Stegostoma tigrinum: one gene and its partner. The protein of the gene in region 2 purifies or fractionates together with the protein of the main gene of each other region. This does not show direct contact. Links are inferred from orthologs where the notes say so. Each region holds a gene or a part of one and is shown on either strand. Other genes may lie near its edges.

What was found.
Region 1: the proteins of cbx1b (region 2) and zinc finger protein 644-like purify together in Homo sapiens (affinity purification with mass spectrometry; 3 studies listed by BioGRID and IntAct, with this or other methods). This does not show direct contact. The link is inferred for Stegostoma tigrinum from reciprocal best matches to the Homo sapiens genes CBX1 and ZNF644.

Annotation. Positions count from the first base shown.
Region 1 is NC_081361.1:87,620,042-87,631,016, forward strand, and holds the start of zinc finger protein 644-like, read left to right. Parts: upstream 1-6,543; 5' UTR 6,544-6,855; coding exon 6,856-7,202; intron 7,203-7,251; exon of another isoform or gene 7,252-7,345; intron 7,346-7,394; exon of another isoform or gene 7,395-7,533; intron 7,534-10,975.
Region 2 is NC_081384.1:3,309,056-3,319,681, forward strand, and holds the start of cbx1b (chromobox protein homolog 1b), read right to left. Parts: upstream 4,942-10,626; 5' UTR 4,819-4,941; coding exon 4,815-4,818; intron 3,892-4,814; exon of another isoform or gene 3,869-3,891; intron 3,863-3,868; exon of another isoform or gene 3,733-3,862; intron 1-3,732. UniProt on the Homo sapiens protein: Component of heterochromatin. Recognizes and binds histone H3 tails methylated at 'Lys-9', leading to epigenetic repression. Interaction with lamin B receptor (LBR) can contribute to the association of the heterochromatin with the inner nuclear membrane.

The sequences.
Region 1 (10,975 bases), on a different chromosome or scaffold from region 2:
AGGGCCTTAAAGAGTGTAGTGAAAGAGGGACCTTGGAGTTCAGGTTCACAGTCCTCTGAAAGTGGAGTCACAGGACAGGGTAGTGAAGAAGGCTTTTGGCTCACTGGCCTTCATCAGTCAGCGCATTGAGTATAGGAGTTGGGAAGTTATGTTGCAGTTGCACAGGATGCTGGTGAGGCTGCACTTGGAGTATTGTGTTCAGTTTTGGTAACCTTGCTATAGGAAAGATGTTATTAAATTGGAAAGATTGCAGAAGAAATTTACAAGGATGTTGCTAAGACTCAAGGGACTGTGTTATAGGGAGAGGTTGAAAAAACTAGGACTTCTTTCTTTCGAGCGTAGGAGACTGAGGAGGGATCTTATAGAAGTGATTAAGATCATGAGGGGCATAGATAGGGTGAATGCACTCAGTCTTTTTCCCAGAGTTAGAGAATCAAGGACTAGAGGGCATCAGGTGTAAAGTTAGAGGGGAAAGAATAAATGGGAACCTGAGGGCAACTTTTTTTTACACAGAGGTTGGTATGCAAATGGAATGAGATGCCAGCAGAAGTGGTTGAGATGGGTACAACATTAAAAAGGCATTTGGATGACTACATGGATAGGAAAGATTCAGAAATATATGGGCCAAGTGTAGAGAAATGGTTTTGTCGTGGATTGACATTTTGGTCAGCATAGACCAGTTTGGGCTGAAGGGCCTGTCTCCATGCTGTAGGACTCTATGACTCCATAATATGGGAGAATTCAGCAGGTCTGGCTGCATCTAAGTTTGTTTCTATCACCAATCTTTCTGCTCCCCGAGAACTGGTATCCTATTGGCAGTTTTTAATTTATCTAAGCCTGGAGATAGCAATATGGTCAAGATCCTAGCCACAAAAGGCCTTGTTAAATATTAGAGGTCCTTACACAAGACAACAGGATACCTATTGGAATGATTCATGAACTGCAACTATATAAAGAGACTGAGACTAGGCATAGCATTCCAGCTAAGGCTAAGTAAGGACAAAGGCTTTATTTTATCACATAATTTTAATAAATAATTCACAAATGTCATCATCACTGAAAATAATTATTTAAGTTTTTAATGCTAATCCCTAATTGTTTTAGAGATATGACATAGTTTGCAAGGCAAATTTAGAGAATGATTAAGAGTCAACCACATTATTATGGGTCTGAAGTCACATATGGGTGAGACCAGATAAAGATAGATTTTCTCCTCCATAGGGCATTTGTGAAACATGGTCATGATTAATATTGCCAGCTTTTTATTTCAAATGTAATTATTTAACTGATTTTAAAATCTACCTGCCATGGTGAGATTTGAACTCATCTCAAAGTCATCAGTCCAGGCCTTCAGATTACTGGTTTGGTAACATAACCACTGTTGCCACCATACCTTGTGAAGTGTGATCATTTTTAATCCAAAAGTGTTTTTTTTGCCAGGGATTATTTCAGCTTTGGAGAAAATGACCCTGCTCAATACACAGACTGGTCCCAGGGACAAAACCTTTTCAATTATTGAAGGTAAAATTACTATGGTGTTACTACACAATAGGGTTGCTCTCTCATTAAAGACAGACGACTGGTGGTGGTTTAACCAGAGAGTTAACACACTTCAAGTGGAAGACAGGTTAAGGAGAGTTAGGGTAACCTCAGCTTGTGCAGGAATTGAACGCATGTTATTGGCATCACTCTGTGTCGCAAAGCAGCCATCCAGCCAACTGATCCCCTACTTTACTTTCAATTACTAACCAGAAGCCAACCCTATTAAATGCAGACATTGAGCAACTTTTCCTGTCAACTCCAAACCAGCAAGGGAGACAGTGGCATTGAACAGTTTGATAAGCAAAGAGACAACAGATCCCTTGGAAGGCAGTTCACACATTGTACAAAATTCAATATACATTCAAATTTCTGCCTGGCTGAGTATTGTGGGTGGAGGGACTGGATGTTTATAGATATGGTGCCAATCAAATAAGCTGCTTTGTGCTGGATGGCATCAAGCTTCTTGAGTTTTGTTGGTGCTGCATTCATCCAGCCGAGTGTGGAGTTTTCCATCATGATCTCAACTTTTGATAACAAAGTGTGGAGCTGGATGAACACGGCAGGCCAAGCAGCACCTTATGAGCTCAAAAGTTAACGTTTCAGGCCTAGACCCTTCCAAAATGTCAGCTTTTCTTCTCCTAAGATGGTGCTTGGCCTGCTGTGTTCATCCAGCTCCACACTTTGTTATGTCGGATTCTCCAGCATCTGCAGTTCAACTTGTGCCTTGTAAATGGTGGTCAGGCTTTGGGGAGTCACGAGGTGAGTTAAATGCAACAAGATTCGTGGCTGTGACCTGATCTTGTAGCCACAGTGTTCATAATGATTTGTATTCATAGAATCCCTACAGTGTGGAAACAGGGCCTTTGGTCCAATGAATCCACACTGATCCTTGGAACATCCCACAAAGACCTATCCCCCTATAACCCATCGAAGCTACACATCCCTAAACAATACAGGCAACTTAGCATGGCCAATCCACCTAGCCTGCATATCTTTGGACTGTGGGAGGAAACCAGAGTACCTGGGCGAAACCCACACAGACATGGAGAGAACATGCAAACTCCACGCAGACTGTCACCTGAGGGTGGAATTGAACCCAAGTCCCTGGCGCTGTGAGGCAGCAGTACTAACCACTGAGCCACCGTGCCACTCCTTAGTTCCTAGTCAATTTTAAGCCCCAGATGCTGAAATTCAGGAATTGTACGATTGAGAAATCATTGTATGTCAAGGGCAATGATCAGATTCTCATATTGGAGATATTCATTGCTTGGCACTTACTTGTCACTTGTCAGGCCAAACCTGAATTTTGTCCTGAACTTGTTACATTTGGACACAGATTGCTTCAGTATCTGAAGATTTACAATTTATTTAGAACATTGTGCAATCATCAGTGAACATCCCTACTTCTGACCTTATGACAGGATATTACTGAAGCAGCTGAAGATGGTTAGACCTAGGACACTACCCTGAGGAATTCCTGTACAACCATCCTGGAGCTGAGGTGTCTGACCTCCACCAACCATAACCAGGTTTGTGTCAGGTGTAACCCCAACCAAAAGAGAGTTCTCCCTTAATTCCCATTGACTCCAAGCCTGCTAGCGTTCCTTAATGCCATATTCAGTCAAATACAATTTTGATGTCAAGCACAGTCATTTTCACGTCCCCTTGGGAGCTCAGCATTGAAGCAAAGATATAACATAGTGAGGAATTGAGATACCCTGGCAGAAACCAGGGTGAGCAGGTTATCGCTAAGCAAACATTGCTCAGTAGCACTGTTGATGACACTTGTCATAAATTCACTGATGATTGAGATTAAACTAATAGGGTCAGGTTGGAAGTTCTCACATTGTTGGATAGATGCTTGTGTTATAGCTGTACTAGAACAGCTTGAAGGGAGTGGCAAATCTGGAGTGTACTTCTTCAGTACTATTGTCGCTAGTGATCTTGGGAGGAGGCCAGACGGATCATCTACTTGGCACTCTTGGCTGAAGATTGTTGCAAATGCTTTCGTCCTTTTGCACTAATGTATTATCATTGTTGAGAATGGGGATATTTGTAGATCCTCATCCTGCCAATCACTTTTTAAATTGCACACTACCAGCCATGACCGGATGTGGCAGGTCTGAAGAGCTTTGTTTTTGGAATCACTTAGCTCTGTATATCACTTGCTGCTTACACTGTTTTATCTTGTAGTGGTATTGTTTCGTAGCTTCACCAGGTTAACACCTGATGTGCAAGTAGGCCTGGTTCTGCTCCAGCCTTCTTCATTGAACCAGACTTGATGATAGTGTTGCAGGGATTTGCCCAGGCCATGAGGTTGCCATTGGTGGGTGTACAATTCTGCCGCTGCTGTCAGTCCGCAGTGCATCATGCATGTCTAATCTTGATTTGGGAGATATGTTCAAAGTCTATTTCATTCAGCATGGCGTCAATGATCAATACGAAGGCAGGACTTTGTCTCCATAAGGATTGTGCTGTGGTCAGTCTTATTAATGTTGTCATGACAGATCGCATCTACCGCAGGAAGATCAATGGGAATGAGGTCAAGTACATTTTTCACTCTTGTCGGTTCCATCACTACTTGCCACAGATCTGGTATAGCAGCTATGTTCTTTAGGACTTGACCAACTCAGTCAGTAGTGATGCTTCCATTGGCAATGGACTCTGAAATTGCCTAATCAAAGGACATTCTGTGCCCTTGCCACCTTTAGTTTTTTTTCCAAGTGGTGTTCAGCATAGTACACTGAGTCATCGTCTGAGGTGGGGATCAGTTTGTAGTAATCAGCAGAAGCTTTCCTTGCCCATGTCTGACCTGACATATGAGATTCACAAGGTCTGCTTTCAATGTTGAAAACTCCTGCAGAAACTACCTCCTGACTGTATACCACTGTGTCTCAACATCTGCTGCATTTGTCCTGGTGATGGGACAGGGATAATGATGGTGTTGTCAAGAATGATACATGTAAGGTATGATTCTTTGAGTATGAGCATGTCAGGCTGATAGCTCTCCTAATCTTGGCACTAGCCCTTACATGTTGGTGAGAAGGACTTTGCAGGATCAACAGGCCATTATCATTTCTGGGTGTCTTGGTTGATGCCGGATGGTCTGTCTAGTTTTATTCTCTTTTTTTAAAGTTAGAGACAACAGAGTCCATTGCTAGTGGTACTTAAGAGGAAACCACATTTCTGTGGCTCTGTAGGCCAGATCACGTTTTCTCTTTCTGAATGATGTTTGTGAACTAGATAAGTTTTGATGACAATAGTTTTTTGGCCATCACTCAGATATTTATTGCATTCAAATTCCACCATTTGCCATGGTGGAATTTGAATCCAGGTCCTTAGTACAATACCTGGGTTTCTGGATTACCAATCTCAGTGACAATACCATCACCTCCTTTCTGACATTTTGAAAACTGAGGAAATGTTTACCTCATTCACTATTTTGATAAATGCTTCATAAAGTGAACTGAAATGTGGGACAGGACCCTTTTCTGGCCATGTTGGGTCTTCCTGATATATCCTACTTTAAGTAGCTAAATAGTACATATCTAATCATCCCTCTTTATTACTGACAACAAACTACTAGGCCTAAAGGTATCCTATTCTGTCTTATCTCCCTCATTAAAAAAGGAATATTAGTCTTCTTCCAGTCTATGGGGGAGGTGGGGGGGTGGTTGGTTTAGCTTGGGGAGGGTTGCAAGAAGGGTGTTAGGAGACCCTTATCCTGTTTCCTTGAGACCCACTGGATGGATATCCTTTCAATGATCTACTGTTTTATGTCAAGGTTCTTAATTCTAAAATAATATTGTTTTTAATATTAACAATGTTAATTAGTGACATTGTTGAATTCTACTGGTTAAGCATCATCCTCAAAAGTGAAAATTGATACAAGGTACTCATTTAATATTTTTGACATACCAAAATCCATCCATATTCTTTCCCTGTAGTTATTTCAATGATCTTCAAAAGTGAAAATTGACACAAGTTACTCATTTAATATTTTCGACATACCAAAATCCATCCGTATTCTTTCCCTGTAGTTATTTCAATGATTGAATATGGGTGATTGAAATCCTGATATAACACTTTTTTCCCATTACTATCACAATTGTTCAAAATCTTCTTTTCCATTAAACTTTTTAGCTGCTTTTGGAATTGGAAATTTGGAATTGTGTTTGTATTACTTTAATTTGTTTATGTGAATTTCCATTTAAAATGGTGGTGCTGTCTTACACAGCTGAAGCTTGGTCCATGCCTGTGGAGTTGCATTATTTTGCTTGCACTATGTTCTAAGTAGCTAAACATGGAAGCAATTTATCTCTTCGCTGAAAGAAAATTCATGTAAACAGTGGTATTGTTGAGTAGGACGTATACGATGTGAAGAAATGCAACCAAAACAATGGCTGAAAACAACCATTTTATTTGCAAAGGACTGTAACGATAAATGGCAAACAGATCAATAAAAATGATATGCTGGGAATCTACTGGTGAAAGATCGAGTGCTGGAGTTTAGCGAGGAATCATGCCTGAACTGTAGATAAGCAGTTAAAATCGTTTGTCAACAATTTCCGAGAACGTGTTGTCCAGCACTAGCAGCCAGAGAGCCAAGAGTCATGGAGTCAGCAGTATTCCGGTAAACATCTTCCGGAATATTAATTAAGACATTCTTTGCAACGGCCTCTTTGCAAAACATCCACGCAACTATTAAAATAACCGCACGTTTCAACGATCTTCCCATGTGTGGTGATGAAAGATTGATTTGTTTTAAAAAGGCTCGACAGATGTTTACTTTATTCACTCCCCAAAAGACAAACTGTTATTTGGTCCCTTTCTCCTGAAGGCCTGGTTTCCCAGTGTCCCATGGGGCGCTGGCCCAATTGGCCATTGATTATTACTTTTCTTGCAGCGTCGAGTTTCCTTCGAGTTGACACCTGCCTTGTTGATCTGATGGGAGTTCATTCCCATTTTGTTTTTCTTCAGACAGGAAACCGGGTGCTGCGAGAAAAACGAGCAGTGGTTTTTGTTTTGACCTCTTTCCACTCCCTGACCCCCCCCCCAACACACAAACCATCCAAAATATTTCTTTTCCAGTGAGTGAATAGTCAGAATCCTGCTCTCTCTCACCTGGTCAGGAAGCCGACACCATTTCCACGCTTTCCTGAAGCCCCAGCTGCCACTTATGTATGTTTAAAAAGAAACAGCGACAACAGAGAGAGGCGGCTGTGAGAGGAAGGCGCCTCCACTGGCGGAGGGAAAGGAGGAAGGCGGTTGTCGTTGGGGGGGTGGGGGGAGAAAAACAGGAGACGGTTGGTGATGGTGGTGGAAGAACAAACACGCACTTGGCGGGGACAAAGGACTGCGCCCGCTCGCGTTTCTGACAGGAAGCCGACCATCGGGCTGTACCCAGCCGATACCAGCAAAACCCCCACTTTCCCCCCGTCACACACCAACCCGGTTGCCGCGGGCAGGGCTCAGCAACGGCCGGCGTCCCACCGCCCCCTTTCTTTTAACCTCCCCTCCCCCCAACCTCCCGCCTTCACCATCTCCGGGCACAATAGCGAGCAAAATGGCGGCCGTGCCTGGATGGATGGAGGACGAGCGCTGACAATAAAAACCCGGCCCGCCGCTCCTCCGCGCACTCCCTTGTGCCAAAATAAAAGGTACGTGCGTGTGTGTTTTTTTTCCTCCTTCCCGTCGCAATAAGCTCACCGACAGTAGAGAGAGAGCGGTGGATGGGGGTGGGGGAGGACGACGATCGGTTGGGAGTTTTGCTTTTTTTTGCTTGCCATCCATTCCACCACCAATCCCCCCTCCCCCCTCCTTTCTCTCTCCCTCTCTCTCTTCCCCCCCACCTCCTTGGTTGTTGGGTTGTAGTTTGGACCCAGCGATTCGACAGCGTGACAGACAATTCAGGCGGGACGGGGCACACACTACTTGCATGTCTTCCTTTGCCACGCAACATGGCATCTCGGACCAATTCTTCCACCCCGTCCCCTCCCCCAATCTTGGGTTTTATCATGCTAGTTCCCACTACTCCAACAACAAAAGTTGGGTTACCCCTTTTTCAATGTCAATTTTTGAGCTTTGTGCAGTTCTTTAATTTGAATAGGTTCTGCTCTGCACTGCGACTCATCCACACGCATAAACTGAACACTGGCATTGATTGTGGGCAAAATGGGGGAAAGCATGTCAGGAGTGTGTTGTAGGAATTGAAAGGAACTGTGCTGTGCTTCAAAGTCTATGACTCCAAACTGGATTGTCTGCCTTTAAACTTGCTCTTATTTGTTTTGTATGGTGTTTGGTGGCGTTTGTTACCAAATCCAAGGTCAATGATGTACAATACCACTAATCTTTGGATTCTATGTAAGGCAACTGAAGTTTTTTTTTCCAAATGCCATCATAGAATAATGGCTGTACAATGGATCCCAAGTAACTTAAATCTAGAGGAACTTTAACATAGTGTCATGAATTTATGTTTTTGAATTCTTGCATAAAATTTCTAAATAGCTGTAAATTTTGAAATTTTGCCCCCTCCTTTTTGATATACTTTAATCAGTTGCAGTTTATGATAAGCCCTTCAAGGGACACTAAAATTTTTTCCAACTATTTCATAACTAATGGTTATGTGGAGTTGGGTGCAGGACAAGTGCATTAGATCCAGAAATACAAGAGTCTGATGCTGTCTAATCTTGGTTTTTGTTTTTTTTTGTGTACTGAGGCTGATTTTCCTGAATTTAACTTAATAGTGCAAGATTCTTGTAGGACCTTTAACTTGCTTTCTGTGGCATGTTGTCACAATAATATTCAGTGTGCTTTAAATATTTGTAAGCTATCTTTGGCCAAGGAGTCTACAAATACTCTTTTGAAAGCCTCCATAATAATTGGTTTCCAGTATGAGCATTTGGCCTGCATTCATTTTGCATGTAATTTTGTAGTTATTTTAATGTCTAGTTTAAAAGACGTATAATCTTGTCCATTAAACATTTCAAGCTGGATTATTTTCTCACACACTGTAACCCAGCTGGGTGTGAATAACACAGAATTGTCACCACCATTTAATTAAACTTAGCTGATTTGCTCTATAAATAGAGTAATAAAGTTTTTGTTTGTCCTTTTGAGTCATCTGAGGTGTTTAATAGGGTTCGGGCAGGTAACTACTGAGGTGATCTAGACCTGGAAAGTTCTGTTGCAAAAGGATACAGCAGATAATTGATGACGACAAAGTGTGGAGCTGGATGAACACAGCAGGCCAAGCAGCATCTTAGGAGCACAAAAGCTGACGTTTCGGGCCTAGACCCTTCATCAGAAGTTGTGCTCCTAAGATGCTGCTTGGCCTGCTGTGTTCATCCAGCTCTACACCCTGTTATCTCGGAGCTTTGGACAAGTTGGTTTTGGAATCCTGTCCAACATCTACCTGAAGCAGAGGGAAAATTCCTATTTTCAAAGGAAGCCACAATGTTTATTTTTGGTTTGTTGTTCCATGTACATGGATTCTGAATGAGTTTCTCCCAGGAGTCTTAAATTGTTGACATGAAAACTCTTAAGTGGAATTTTTAGATTAGCCAAATGAAGCACTACAAGGACAATGTGAAAGCACAGAGCTGGCTGAAGCTCTCCATAGAAGCTTTGCATTGGTAAGCAAACAAAGTTTTATAAAAGTAAGTATAAGTAAATGTGGTATAAGGACTTGGAAGTTGTACATATCCAAATTGTATTGGTTTATACCTGATGGAATGATCTGTAAACACTTTTAAAATTTGTCAAGCTTTGTGATGAACAACTGTTAATGTTCAGCATAGACCTATTCTATCTAGTTTTTTCTAATTAAAAGTTGGGAAGAATCTGAAGTTGGATCTATGATTACAACTTGGCTGATTTAATACAAAATATGTCATATTGCTTTGTATTGGATCTGCTTAAAAGTATTCATGATGGAAAAGTGCATGTCTGTGCCTCCTCAAATACTAAGTTCTTACTTTAATGCACATTGGCTTGATTTCACGTTATAATATTCCTCTGCAATGTCTTGTGTAGGAACATGTTAAAATGGTTATTTTGCTCAATGATTTCACTTTTGTATGGTTTGGATTTTGCCATTATGTTGACAAAGAAATCATCAGTAGGAGTAAATTTACTGCAGATCCTGGAAGCTGTACTGAAAACAACAAATGCTGCAAATTGCAGTGGGTCAGGCAGCATCGGTAGAGATAGAGCAAGCTAATGTTTTGAGACTAGGTGACTCTTCATAAGAGTTGACATGAAATGAGGAGTGAGCAGCAGTTATGCAATAGAAGAGTAGTGGAGTGCTGGTGGAGAAAGCATGCTGATTAATTGATTGGAATGTGAGAATGGCAAAATGGTGGTGTGTCCAACTGCCAAGCTAGAAAGAACAGATGGCCCCGGTGGAGTGGAGGGGGGAGGGGAGAGAGGTCACGGTGACAGAGAATACCACATGTAAAGCGAAAAGAAATGGGAGTGGGTTCACAATCTGGAGGCGCAGAACTCAATATTAAGTCCACAAGGTTGTAAAGTGCGTGGTTTGAAGACGAGATGTTGTTCCTTCAGTTTGCACTATGATTCGATGGAGCATTGCAGCATGCCGAGGACAGACATGTGGCCATGCAAGTCGTTAAAACGACTGGCCAAGGGAAGATTGGGGGTCCTACTTAAGCATGGAGTGGAAGTCTTCTGCAACATGGTCACCCAGTCTACATTCATCAGTGTTCGCTGTTATAAAATGGACAGTTAAGTTCTGAAAACCATGTGCACGGCTAAAGGAAGAAATCTAGTTAGAATTTGCTGTAATTTGATTCTGTTCTTTTCAGTACATTGCACTGTTGAAGTTCCTGCATGCAGCAGTTAACGAAAATAATTACAATTAAAAGAATTTGCCTTTTTACAGTGTTAGTCTTGGTGTAAACAAAACTCTTAAAAGTTGTGGTAAAGGAGCTTTTAATGGGGCAATTCTTTCATAATTACCAATGAGAACTTCTGTTTTCAAATATGGAATTTCATAATGATGTTTAAAAATTTATTTGATGTTTCAGTTATCTTAATCTGGTTTATGTCTGACCATTTGGATTATTCATTAAGGGAACAGATTTGTTGAAGTCAAATTGTGCACAACTAAGTTTTGGAGAGTAGTGGGAAAGGTTGATTAAGATGACGTGGTGTTCATGGACCTCCGGACAGCATTTGACAAAGTGACACATAGGATTTCCAGGAATGTTAAATAAAAGAGAGATGGCTGTAACATGGATAAGGAGTTGGTTATTTTAGGATGGGAGGAAAGTGTACAAAGATCTGTATGGAATGGCACTAGAGCTATTGCTTTTCTTGTATCTTCCATTAATGGCCTAAATTTTGGGTGTGAAGGGCATAATTTAAAAGTATCAAGATGGTACAAAACGTGGAAACTTTATGATATTTGATA
Region 2 (10,626 bases):
CTTCTGCGATATGGAGAATATTTCACATTTGTAAAATGAAGCCATGGTCTGCCCTCCCAGGCAGGCACAAAGGATCCTGTGGTGCCATATCAAAGAAGAGCAAAAGCATTTTTCTCAGTGGCCTGCCCACGATTTCTCACTCAGTCGGTATCACTAAAATAAAGTTGCTGGTCATCAGCACGTTACTGCTTAAGGGATCTTACTTCACACAGATTTGGCTATGATGTTTCCTACAATATGGCATAACTACACTTCAGAGCAGTATAATCTCATTAGTAATGTTGTATTTTGGGGCATCCTGCAGTCAGGAAGGGTGATATACAAACAAAAACATTTATTTCAATTGTATCAAACTGCTTATTAGAGAGTAGGGATGTGGAATTAAGTACAGCTTTGTCAGTGAGCACCCCATGTCCCAAGAATGGTTTAACAAACGAACAATGAGATATTCCCATTCTCCAGGCTCCATTCATGAACAGCGATGAGAGCATAATCAATTCTTATTGCTCCTCCCCTTACACACCCAGGACAATCACCCAATCTCAAATGTTTATTCCCAAACTAATGGATTGACAGAAAGTTAGATCTTATGAACGGCGAACGTGTAAGCTGAAGATTTCAGAAGAGTCAGGGAACTGATTAAGTATGAGGAATGGCGCAGCAACCACAAATTTATAGACAGTGCTTTTCACAAACACAGGACTTCCAAAAGTCCCACTGCAGACAATTAAATACCTTTTATGTAATCTCTGTTGCAATACAAGAAGTATATTTATGTAGAATATTTTAATAATTTTCATTGAAATGGCCATACGTCACATAAGTCAAAACCATAAAATAAGATCAACACCAACTAATCATGAAGAATTATACTGAACACTGAAAATAAAACCATCCAGAAGGGCTAAGCTTTTTTAAATAAATACATTTTATATATAGTACATATTATATATGTGTATTACACACACATATATATACACACACTGAAATGATTCCTCTGAAGCTGACTTTCATAAGAGGACTTTGAAAATTATGTCCATCATCAATGCAGGGGTTTCAGTATCATCTTGCATAAGAAATTAATTCCCTCCTAATTCTAGACAGCAACAAGCTTCATGTTCTATATTTTACATTGTAAACCCCTTCCCCTAAACAAGTTCTTCATTATGAAATGTGAATATTTACAGTCCCAGTATGTGTAGCCAACAGTCTGGATTACCTAATCACCTATTTAGAACATTTTTGGAAAACTAGTCTAAAACATGTAGTTTTGCTTGATGTAGACCTTTATCAAAGAGGAATTGGTTAAAAAGCCATATTGATGCAAACAGGGAGATGATGATTAGGGCCGTGAGGAGCTGCAGTCAGTTGAGATTGCATGTCCGAGTACAAATGTTTGCAACCCACATGGCAACACATTGGGTGTCTTGCCATGTCAGACCTGCGGTCAAGCTTACAAGCAGGCTTGCTGGCAGCAAGTTACAATCCACAGCCCAGTTTTAACTGTTCACAGCTTGCTGCTGCTGGGCTACAGGAGCAGGGAGGCAGCTTGGAGGTCAAAGTGCCTATTCACAAAATGAAACCTATGAAATTTAATCCTGTATCACAAGTAAGAAAAATTCTTGTAAGCAACGGTGGGACTTTAAGGCAAAATTATTCGAGTCACAGTTGACTGGAACCAAATGACACTGCCATTCCCCAACAAAAAAAACTGTCAGGATGTAACCTGGCTAGGCCCATATGACTAGATTCCTTTCATCACAAACTAGTGGTTTTAATAAACCTTTGCTTCCAACACCATTATAACTTGTCTGACAGGTCCATATTCAAAAACGTTCATTTACACTATTGACCAATATTTGCACTAAACTGTACACTAATTCTTGACAGCATTATGTACTGATTGTGAACTCATGAGACACTAAATCTGTTACTGGAATATGAACCAGGTGTTAACACAACCTTAGAAACAAGCTCAGAAACCAGATCTCCTGGCTGGAATTAGAATTAAAACAGCAGCAATGGAAAAGCAGCTTCTCTAAGCCCTGCTGCTCTGCAGAGATTGCTCATTAAGAATCAGCTCACATTCTCCTCGCCTCCTCTTCTGTCAAAGGATTTTTTAAGAAGATATATAGATTTAGTATTTCTGGGTGTCATTTTATTTTAAGGCAATTTTTATTGCAGAGTACCAATTAGTGCAACAGACTCAGAGTCAGTACCGACCAAAATAGTGGTTTCAATGAGATCCTATGCTGCATCACAGCCAGTTTCACAGTACTATTATTGCCTGGCAAATTTCACTGTATCCTGGCAACAACTTCATGAGTATACCTCTTAAACAAGATGAAGTACAGTAACGGGTGCATAACCTCATTCAGATCAACAACTGGTTATTCTGAAAAATTGTCACCGGAGGCTTTGATTAAAGTGTCAGTTTTGTCTCAGTGGCAGCATTTTCACCTTGGCGTTAGAAGATAGTGGATTCTAATTCCCCCACATCCAGGCTGACCTGTCTTGTACTATCCAAAATATCTAACATCTGATAAGACCTTAAGTGCCATCTGCCTTCTTAGATGAATGCAAAATATCCACAGCAACTCTGAAAAACAGCAGAGTTCTCCCTGGTGTCTCCATCTCTTACCCTTCAACAAATATCACTAAAAATATGTTCTGAAGGAGTCATACCAAGCTTCAAATATTAATTGATTATATCTCTACAGATGCTGCCAGTCTTGAGTTTCTTCAACATTTTGTTTGAAATTATTAAAGACCTGACCACTTCCACATTATTGTTTGAGAGGTTTCTGTGTCTAAACTGGTTGCTACACTTCCCACATCATTAAGCAGTGACTATATTTCAAAACTACTTCTTGGTTGAAAAGAGCTGCATGATGATCTGAGTTTGTGAAAGGCATGGTATAATTTGGCACCAGTTGAAGAGAACCATCTGCTAAACCTCTGCCAAAGATCTGGCTGACAAGATAGCGCCAAGGAAGAAACTCTCTTCCTTCTCCTGCACTGTGTGGGTCAAAACGTGCACAAAATAAAACACGATTCACAGCAGAGCAAATTATTGAATGAATGCTGCTGTCCAGTTGTTAAAGGAAGTCACCACAACAAATAGCAACGTGACATGATCAGTTAATCTCTCCGCAATAAATAAACTCCTTCATCGACTAGAATCATTCATTGTTTCTCTCTCAGTGGATAATGCTAGATCTGTTAAGCACTTCCAGCATTTTGAGATTCTTACAGGTTTAACATCTGAAGTATGTTTCTCTCAGATTAACAATTATCCATTTAGATAACCCTCATTTGGCTCCTGCGTTGTTAGTAAGGGGGGGCGGGAATAACGGTCAGGACACGGTGTCCTGATCTTCTGAACGAGTGGACGCGGGATCTTTAACATCCCACAGCATCACTCCATTTAGCGTCCCACCGAAATGATGGCACGTCTGGCAGTGCAGCACCCCCTCAGTACAGCACCACACAGCGTTGGCCTAGATTGTGCGCTCAAGTCTCTGCGGTGGGGCTTGAACCCACCATCTTCTGACTTTAGAGGCCAAATGCCACCCACCGAAACCCAACTGACGCCTTCAAATTGGGCGGGGAATGAAGGAGGATTCAGTGAAGTGGGAAAAAATATTTTCAAATTAATGCAACGAGTCGCCGTTAAGCTGCAGGTGGTGTTTGCAACTTTAAAAAGGGAACGTTTAAAATGCAAACCCGTACCTTTTATAAAAAGGAGCGGCCGACGGTAATACTAGTATTTTAAACCGTCTTCAAATCCCACGATTACTATAATCTAAGAAAACAAATCTTGCAAAAATACACAAGCTGTTTTGGTAAAAATGTAAAAGAAACACACACAAACAAAAGGCTTCTTCACAACCCGCCACGGTGACCGAGCGCCGCCAGTGCGCAGGCGCGGGAAATTCCAACATGGCGCCCAGTGGTGGGGGTTGCTGGGAGTTGTAGTCCACGCCGGCCCTGCTTCCCGCCTTCATGGGGGCCTTCAAAACCCGCTACTCCGGGGCTAAAGAAGGGAGGGCGTCGGCCACATTCCCGTCGCATATCCTCCCCGCTCCTGCCTGGGGAGAGGGTAGCCTCCCCGCTTCGAAAGGAGCAGATTTTCGTCTTCTTTTCAGTGGCTCGGAGCGCCCGCCCATGCGCAGTGAGGCGCCGCCACCGCCGGACTACAAACCGCGCGCGGCACAAATGTACCCGGGACAGGGACCAAACATTGGATTTCGGTGAAAAAATGTGCTTCGTTTTCCCCCCAAAAGTGCAAGTTCTTCGTAGAAACACGACTGTGAACGTGCATTTAAAATCCTCTGCATAAAGTAAATACAATTCTCAGCGTTAAAACATTCCTCTATGATCCCGCATGGCGCACGCGCACTAATCAAAGCAAGTTCATGTTTTTTTAAAATGACACCCTTTTTCTCGCAAATGAAAAGAAATTGACGCGGCATTTCAAAAAAAAATAAAATCAAGTCCTTGGCGACGAGGATAACTTCGATTGAGGAAAGGAGATGCTTTTGAATGGTCAGGCCGCGGCCTAGGCCCAGGGATCGGCACAAAAAACCCCGAGACACAATAAAGCCCGAGGCCGCCCTCCCCTCACATACCACCTCCCCCCCCAACTTAAACACCATACAAACAACAACCCTTCACCTTCACCACCCCTGCGCCGCTGACCAAAAATTACAAAGGGCGAACGGACAAGAAGCAGCGGGATACCGACCCCCTTTCTTCGGTTTTGTTTTAAAGATTTTTTAAAAAAAATAAATAAAAGAGTGGAAATGCTTTACCCATGTTGCCGCTAAAGATGGTGGCGTGCCGGGGAGTCGGAACCAATCTGCGGGATGGGGCGAGTAGCCGGAGCTCGGGAGGAGGCGGACCCGGGGCTTGTGGGTGGGCGGCGGTTTGTGGGGTTGGCGGGGAGTGGGGGGAAAAGATGCTGCTGCACTCGGTCACAACCGTCCTGAGGTAAATCCACGGCGATTAAACGGGGCCTGTTGGTTTTTCAACGAAAAGAAACCTACGGCTGATTATTAACTGCTGCGCCTTGGCCCCGGCTTCAAGTGATTGTGTTACTGCTACCTATTTATTTTGACCTGATAAACTCAGGGGGAGGTTCGGCCAGAGGTGGTGACTGCAGACTGTTAGGATCACAGAAATCACCAGAAGCAATCATTTTAAACCATGGACTATTCCAGTGCTATCCTGGCTACCTCGTCTTCCACTCAGAGGTGCTGTCGTGATGCGGTGGAAGTGCGCCTATCCCGAAATTAGGAGCCCTAGGTTCAAATCCCTCCTGTTCCAGAGGTTAACACCTCTGACCAGGTTGATTATAATATGTGATAATGGGAACTGCAGATGCTGGAGAATCCGAGATAACAAGGTGTGGAACTGGATGAACGCAGCAGGCCAAGCAGCATCTCAGGAGCAGGAATGCTCACGTTTCGGGCCTAGACCCTTCATCAGAGATTATAATATGTCTTCTACTCCATCAAAATTCAAGCTCAACCATAACCCTGCTGCTCGGACCTCGCTCGGCTACATTGTTGCCTGGTCCTGCAACACTTCGATTTTGAAATTCTTATTTCTAAATCTTCCAGTGACCTTTCCCCTTGTCAATTTCTCTCACTTCCCCCAGGTCTGAGATGTCTTAGGCACCTCAAATTCTTTCCTTTTGAGTACCCCTGATTTTCATCACTCTACAGTTGGAACCTATGTTTTCAGCTGTAACCACCACTTCTGAAATTTCCTCTTTAAACCTGTCCACCTCTGTTGCCTCCTTTAACATCCTTCTGAAAAGCTATATGTTTGGCTGAGCTTTTAGTCACTTGTGTCAGTATTTCCTTTTGGAGTTTGGTGTCACATTGTGCCTGATTGATGCTCTTGTGAAGTAGCTTGGATTGTTTTACCATGTTAAATCTGTTAAAGTTGCAACTTTTGTTAGCTTCCCCATTTTAAAGTTGCATCAACATTAAGTAATTATGAAACATGCTGGTCTGGTCAGCTCAAGGGCATGGGCCTTGATACTGAAATGAAATGTGAATGTTACTATCTGGGCAAATATTTATTACATAACCCAACTGCTCTTGAGATGGCGATGCTGAGCTGCTTTCTTGAATTGCTGAAGTTGATCTGGCCTTTTTAAAACCAACTTGGAAGAAGGCACTAAGTTAGGCCAGTATCATCAAACAAAAGACACTCTTGTTCTTGGCTACTTCAATTTTCTGCCCAAAGGCAAGTTTCATTCACAAAACTCTGATCTCCACCATGGCTCCAAAAGGGTCCTGAACTCAGCTCAGTCAGAAGAGGGTTTGAATCAAATGCTGTTGGTAGAGATCTGACCCGTATCGACTGCTTGGTCAGCTGAAGCAAACAACCAAACAATCTGAGTCAACTTTGTAATGGCAGTGGTGGGTGAGATCTTCTGAAATGATGATTGCTAGTGTTTTCTGGTGTAAATCCATGTCACTGTTGTTGGCCAAATGTAGGTCTTATTTTCAGCAAGGGGATCACTAAGGATGTAAATGAAAGGCCAGTGTCTATTTCTTATGTTCTTATTTTTACCAAGCTGAATGCTAGTTTTGGATTCAGTGTGTATGATGCTGATTGTCACGAGTTTGAGACTGATTGTCAATTATTAAGACAGCCAATAGAGAAAATCTGATTTGAACAGAAGTCCCAGGGTTAAAGATAGTATTCTAATTTCAATAATTCATTTCTCATAGCTAGAACCACAGAATTGTACAGCACAGAAACAGACCATCCGGTCCAACTGGTCCATGTCGACCAGATATCTTGTATAAATCTAGTCCCATTTGGCCCATATCCATCTAAATCCTTCCTCTTCATATACACATCCAGATGCCTTTTAAATGTTGTAATTGTACCAGTTCCACCACTTCCTCTAGCAGCTCATTCCACACACGCACTATCCTCTGTGTGAAAAAAGTTGCCCGTTAGGTTCCTTTTAAATCCTTTCCCTCTCACCTTAAACCTGTGTCCTCTCGTTTTGGTCTTCCCTGGGGAAAAGACCTGGCCTACTTACTCAAACCATGCCCCTCATGATTTTATAAACCTGCATAAGGCCACCCCCTCAGCCTCTGACACTTCAGGGAAAATAGCCCCAGCCTGTTCAGCCTCCCCCGATAACTCAAACACTCCAACCCTGACATCCTTGTAAATCTTTTCTGAACCCTTTCAAGTTTCACAACAGCTTTCCTATAGCAAGGAGACCAGATTTGCATGCAATTTTTCAATAGTGGCCTAATCAATGTTGTGTACAGGCACAACATGACCTCCCAACTCCTCTACTCAATTCATTGACCAATAAAAGCAAGCGTACCAAATGCAGCCTTCACTGTCCAATCTAACTGCGACTCCACTTTCAACGAACTACAGACCTGCGTGCCAAGGTCTCTTTGTTCATCAACACGCCCCAGGACCTAACTACTAAGTGTATAAGTCTTGCCCTAATTTGCCTTTACAAAATGTGGCACCTCACATTTATTTAAATTAAACTCCTCGGCCCACTGGTCATCTGATCGAGGTTCCGTGTACTCTGAGGTAATCTTCTTGGCCATCCATTCCACCTCCAATTTGGTGTCATCTGCAAACTTACTGATCATACCTCCTGTGTTCACATCCAAATCATTTATATAAAATGACAAAAAGCAGTGGACCCAGCACCGATTCTTGTGGCCTCCAGTCTGAAAAGTAACTGTCCATTGCCACCCTCCCATCTTATGAAATAATTCACATTTTGGTGCAATGCAGCGCCTTAGACTCCAGTCATATTCAGTTTCCCTTTGAAGTGCTAATACCCTCGCGTGATTATGACAGTAGCTGTTTGATTACGCTGAGACGGGGATTGAGGTGGGGCAAGGCACATCACAAATGAACTCTTCTCCGTACGTGCCCCATCTAACATTCATACAAACATATGAATCTGGAGGAGAAGTAGGCCATTCAACTCTTCAAGTTTGCTCTGCCATTCGGTAAAATCATAGCTGATCAATTTATGTTCCAAATTCCTTGTAGAATCATAGAGTTATACACCATGGAAGCAGACCCTTCAATCCAATTCATCTGCACTGATCAGATATCCTAAACTGATCTAGTCCCATTTGCCAGCATTTGGCTCATATCCCTGTCAACCCTTTCTGTTCATGTGCTGAACTAGATTTGTTTTAAGCATGATTGTAACAGCCTCCACCACCACCTCTGGCAGCTCATTCCATCCATACACACACCCACCTCTGTGTGAAAAAGTTGCATCTTAGGTCCTTTTTAATTCTTTCACCCCTGTCATCTGCCCCCAATAACTTTGATTCCCCTGCGTAATAAGAACCTATCACCTCCACTTTAAAAATTTTCAACTATTCTGCTTCCCCCCGCTCCTGGAGCTGAATTCCACTTTATGTTCCATTGGTCAACTTTCTGTCCACTCACCTAATCTATGGTATCGACCTCCATCCTTGATATATCATCTTCACAAATAAAATCTACTTTTCTTTGTGTTACCTGCAAACTTAGCCACTGTGCCTTGAATCCCTTCATCTGTGTCAGTGATATAAATTGTAAAATGTGATCTGCCCAGCACAGACCTCCGTGGGTCCCTACTTGTGACGTGCTGCCAAACTGAAACAGATCTATTTATGCATACTCTTCATTTTTTGCCAGTTAGCCAACTATCTATCCGTGCAAATATGTTACTCCCTACACCATGAATTCCTATTTTCCATGATATCATTTTACGTGGAACCTTGTTAAATGCCTTCTGGAAATCAATGTACAATATATCAATGTACACCTCTTTATCCACAGGTCATATGACATCAAAGAACCCCAATAAGTAGATTATATACAATTTCCTTTTCACAAAGCCATGCTAACTCTTTCAGGTCATCTTGGATTTTTCCCAGTGCCCAGTTATAATGTCTTTAATGATCAATTCTAAAATTTTTCCACAACACAAGTCAAATAACTGGCCCAAAGTATCTTGTTTATGCCTCCCTCCCTTCTTAGAGTCATACAGTACAGAAACAGACCCTTTGGTCTGACCATGTTCCCAAAGCGAGCTAGTCCCACTGCCAACCCTTGGCCGATATCCCTCCAAACCTTTCCTACTCATGAGCTTATCCAAATAAGGGAACCGCGTCTCCCGCATTTCCCGCAACACAACCCTCACACCCCGCCCCCGTTCTCACACACCACCCCACCAACCTCCAGACACAACGCATCATCCTCCGACACTTCCGCCATCTACAATCCGACCCCACCACCCAAGACATTTTTCCATCCCCACCCTTGTCTGCTTTCTGGAGAGACCACTCTCTCCGTGACTCCCTTGTTCGCTCCACACTGCCCTCCAACCCCACCACACCCGGCACCTTTCCCTGCAATCGCAGGAAATGTTACACTTGCCCCCACACCTCCTCCCTCACCCCTATCCCAGGCCCCAAGATGACTTTCCATATTAAGCAGAGGTTCACCTGCACATCTGCCAATGTGGTATACTGTATCCATTGTACCCGGTGTGGCTTCCTCTACATTGGGGAAACCAAGCGGAGGCTTGGGGACCGCTTTGCAGAACACCTCCGCTCGGTTCGCAATAAACAACTGCACCTCCCAGTCGCAAACCATTTCCACTCCCCCTCTCATTCTTTAGATGACATGTCCATCATGGGCCTCCTGCAGTGCCACAATGATGCCACCCAAAGGTTGCAGGAACAGCAACTCATATTCCGCTTGGGAACCCTGCAGCCCAATGGTATCAATGTGGACTTCACCAGCTTCAAAATCTCCCCTTCCCCCACGGCATCCCAAAACCAGCCCAGTTCGTCCCCTCCCCCCACTGCACCACACAACCAACCCAGCTCTTCCCCTCCACCCACTGCATCCCGAAACCAGCCCAGCCTGTCTCTGTCTCCCTAAGCTGTTCTTCCTCTCACCCATCCCTTCCTCCCGCCGCACCTCCATCTCCTACGTACCAACCTCATCCCACCTCCTTGACCTGTCCGTCTTTCCTGGACTGACCTATCCCCTCCCTACCTCCCCACCTATACTGTCCTCTCCATCTATCCTCTTTTCTCTCCATCTTCGGTCCGCTTCCCCCTCGCTCCCTATTTATTCCAGAACCCTCACCTCATCCCCCTCTCTGATGAAGGGTCTAGGCCCGAAATGTCAGCTTTTGTGCTCCTGAGATGCTGCTTGGCCTGCTGTGTTCATCCAGCCTCACATTTTATTATCTTGGATTCTCCAGCATCTGCAGTTCCCATTATCACTTATATTTACTACTCCCCAGTCTAATGGAACCTTCCAGAATTTAATGGAGTTTGGAAAATTAATACCAACACATCTGTTATGTCATTAGTCACCTCCTTGAGGGTGTCTATGTGCATAGTTCCCTGAACGTTGCCACCCAGATAGATAGGGTTGTTAAGAAGTCGTATGGTGTGTTAGGTTTTATTGGTAGAGGGATTGAGTTTCAGAGCCATGAGGCCATGTTGCAGCTGTACAAAACTGTGGTGTGGCCACACTTGGAGTATTGTGTACAGTTCTGGTCGCTGCATTATTGGAAGGACGTGGAAGAATTGGAAAGGG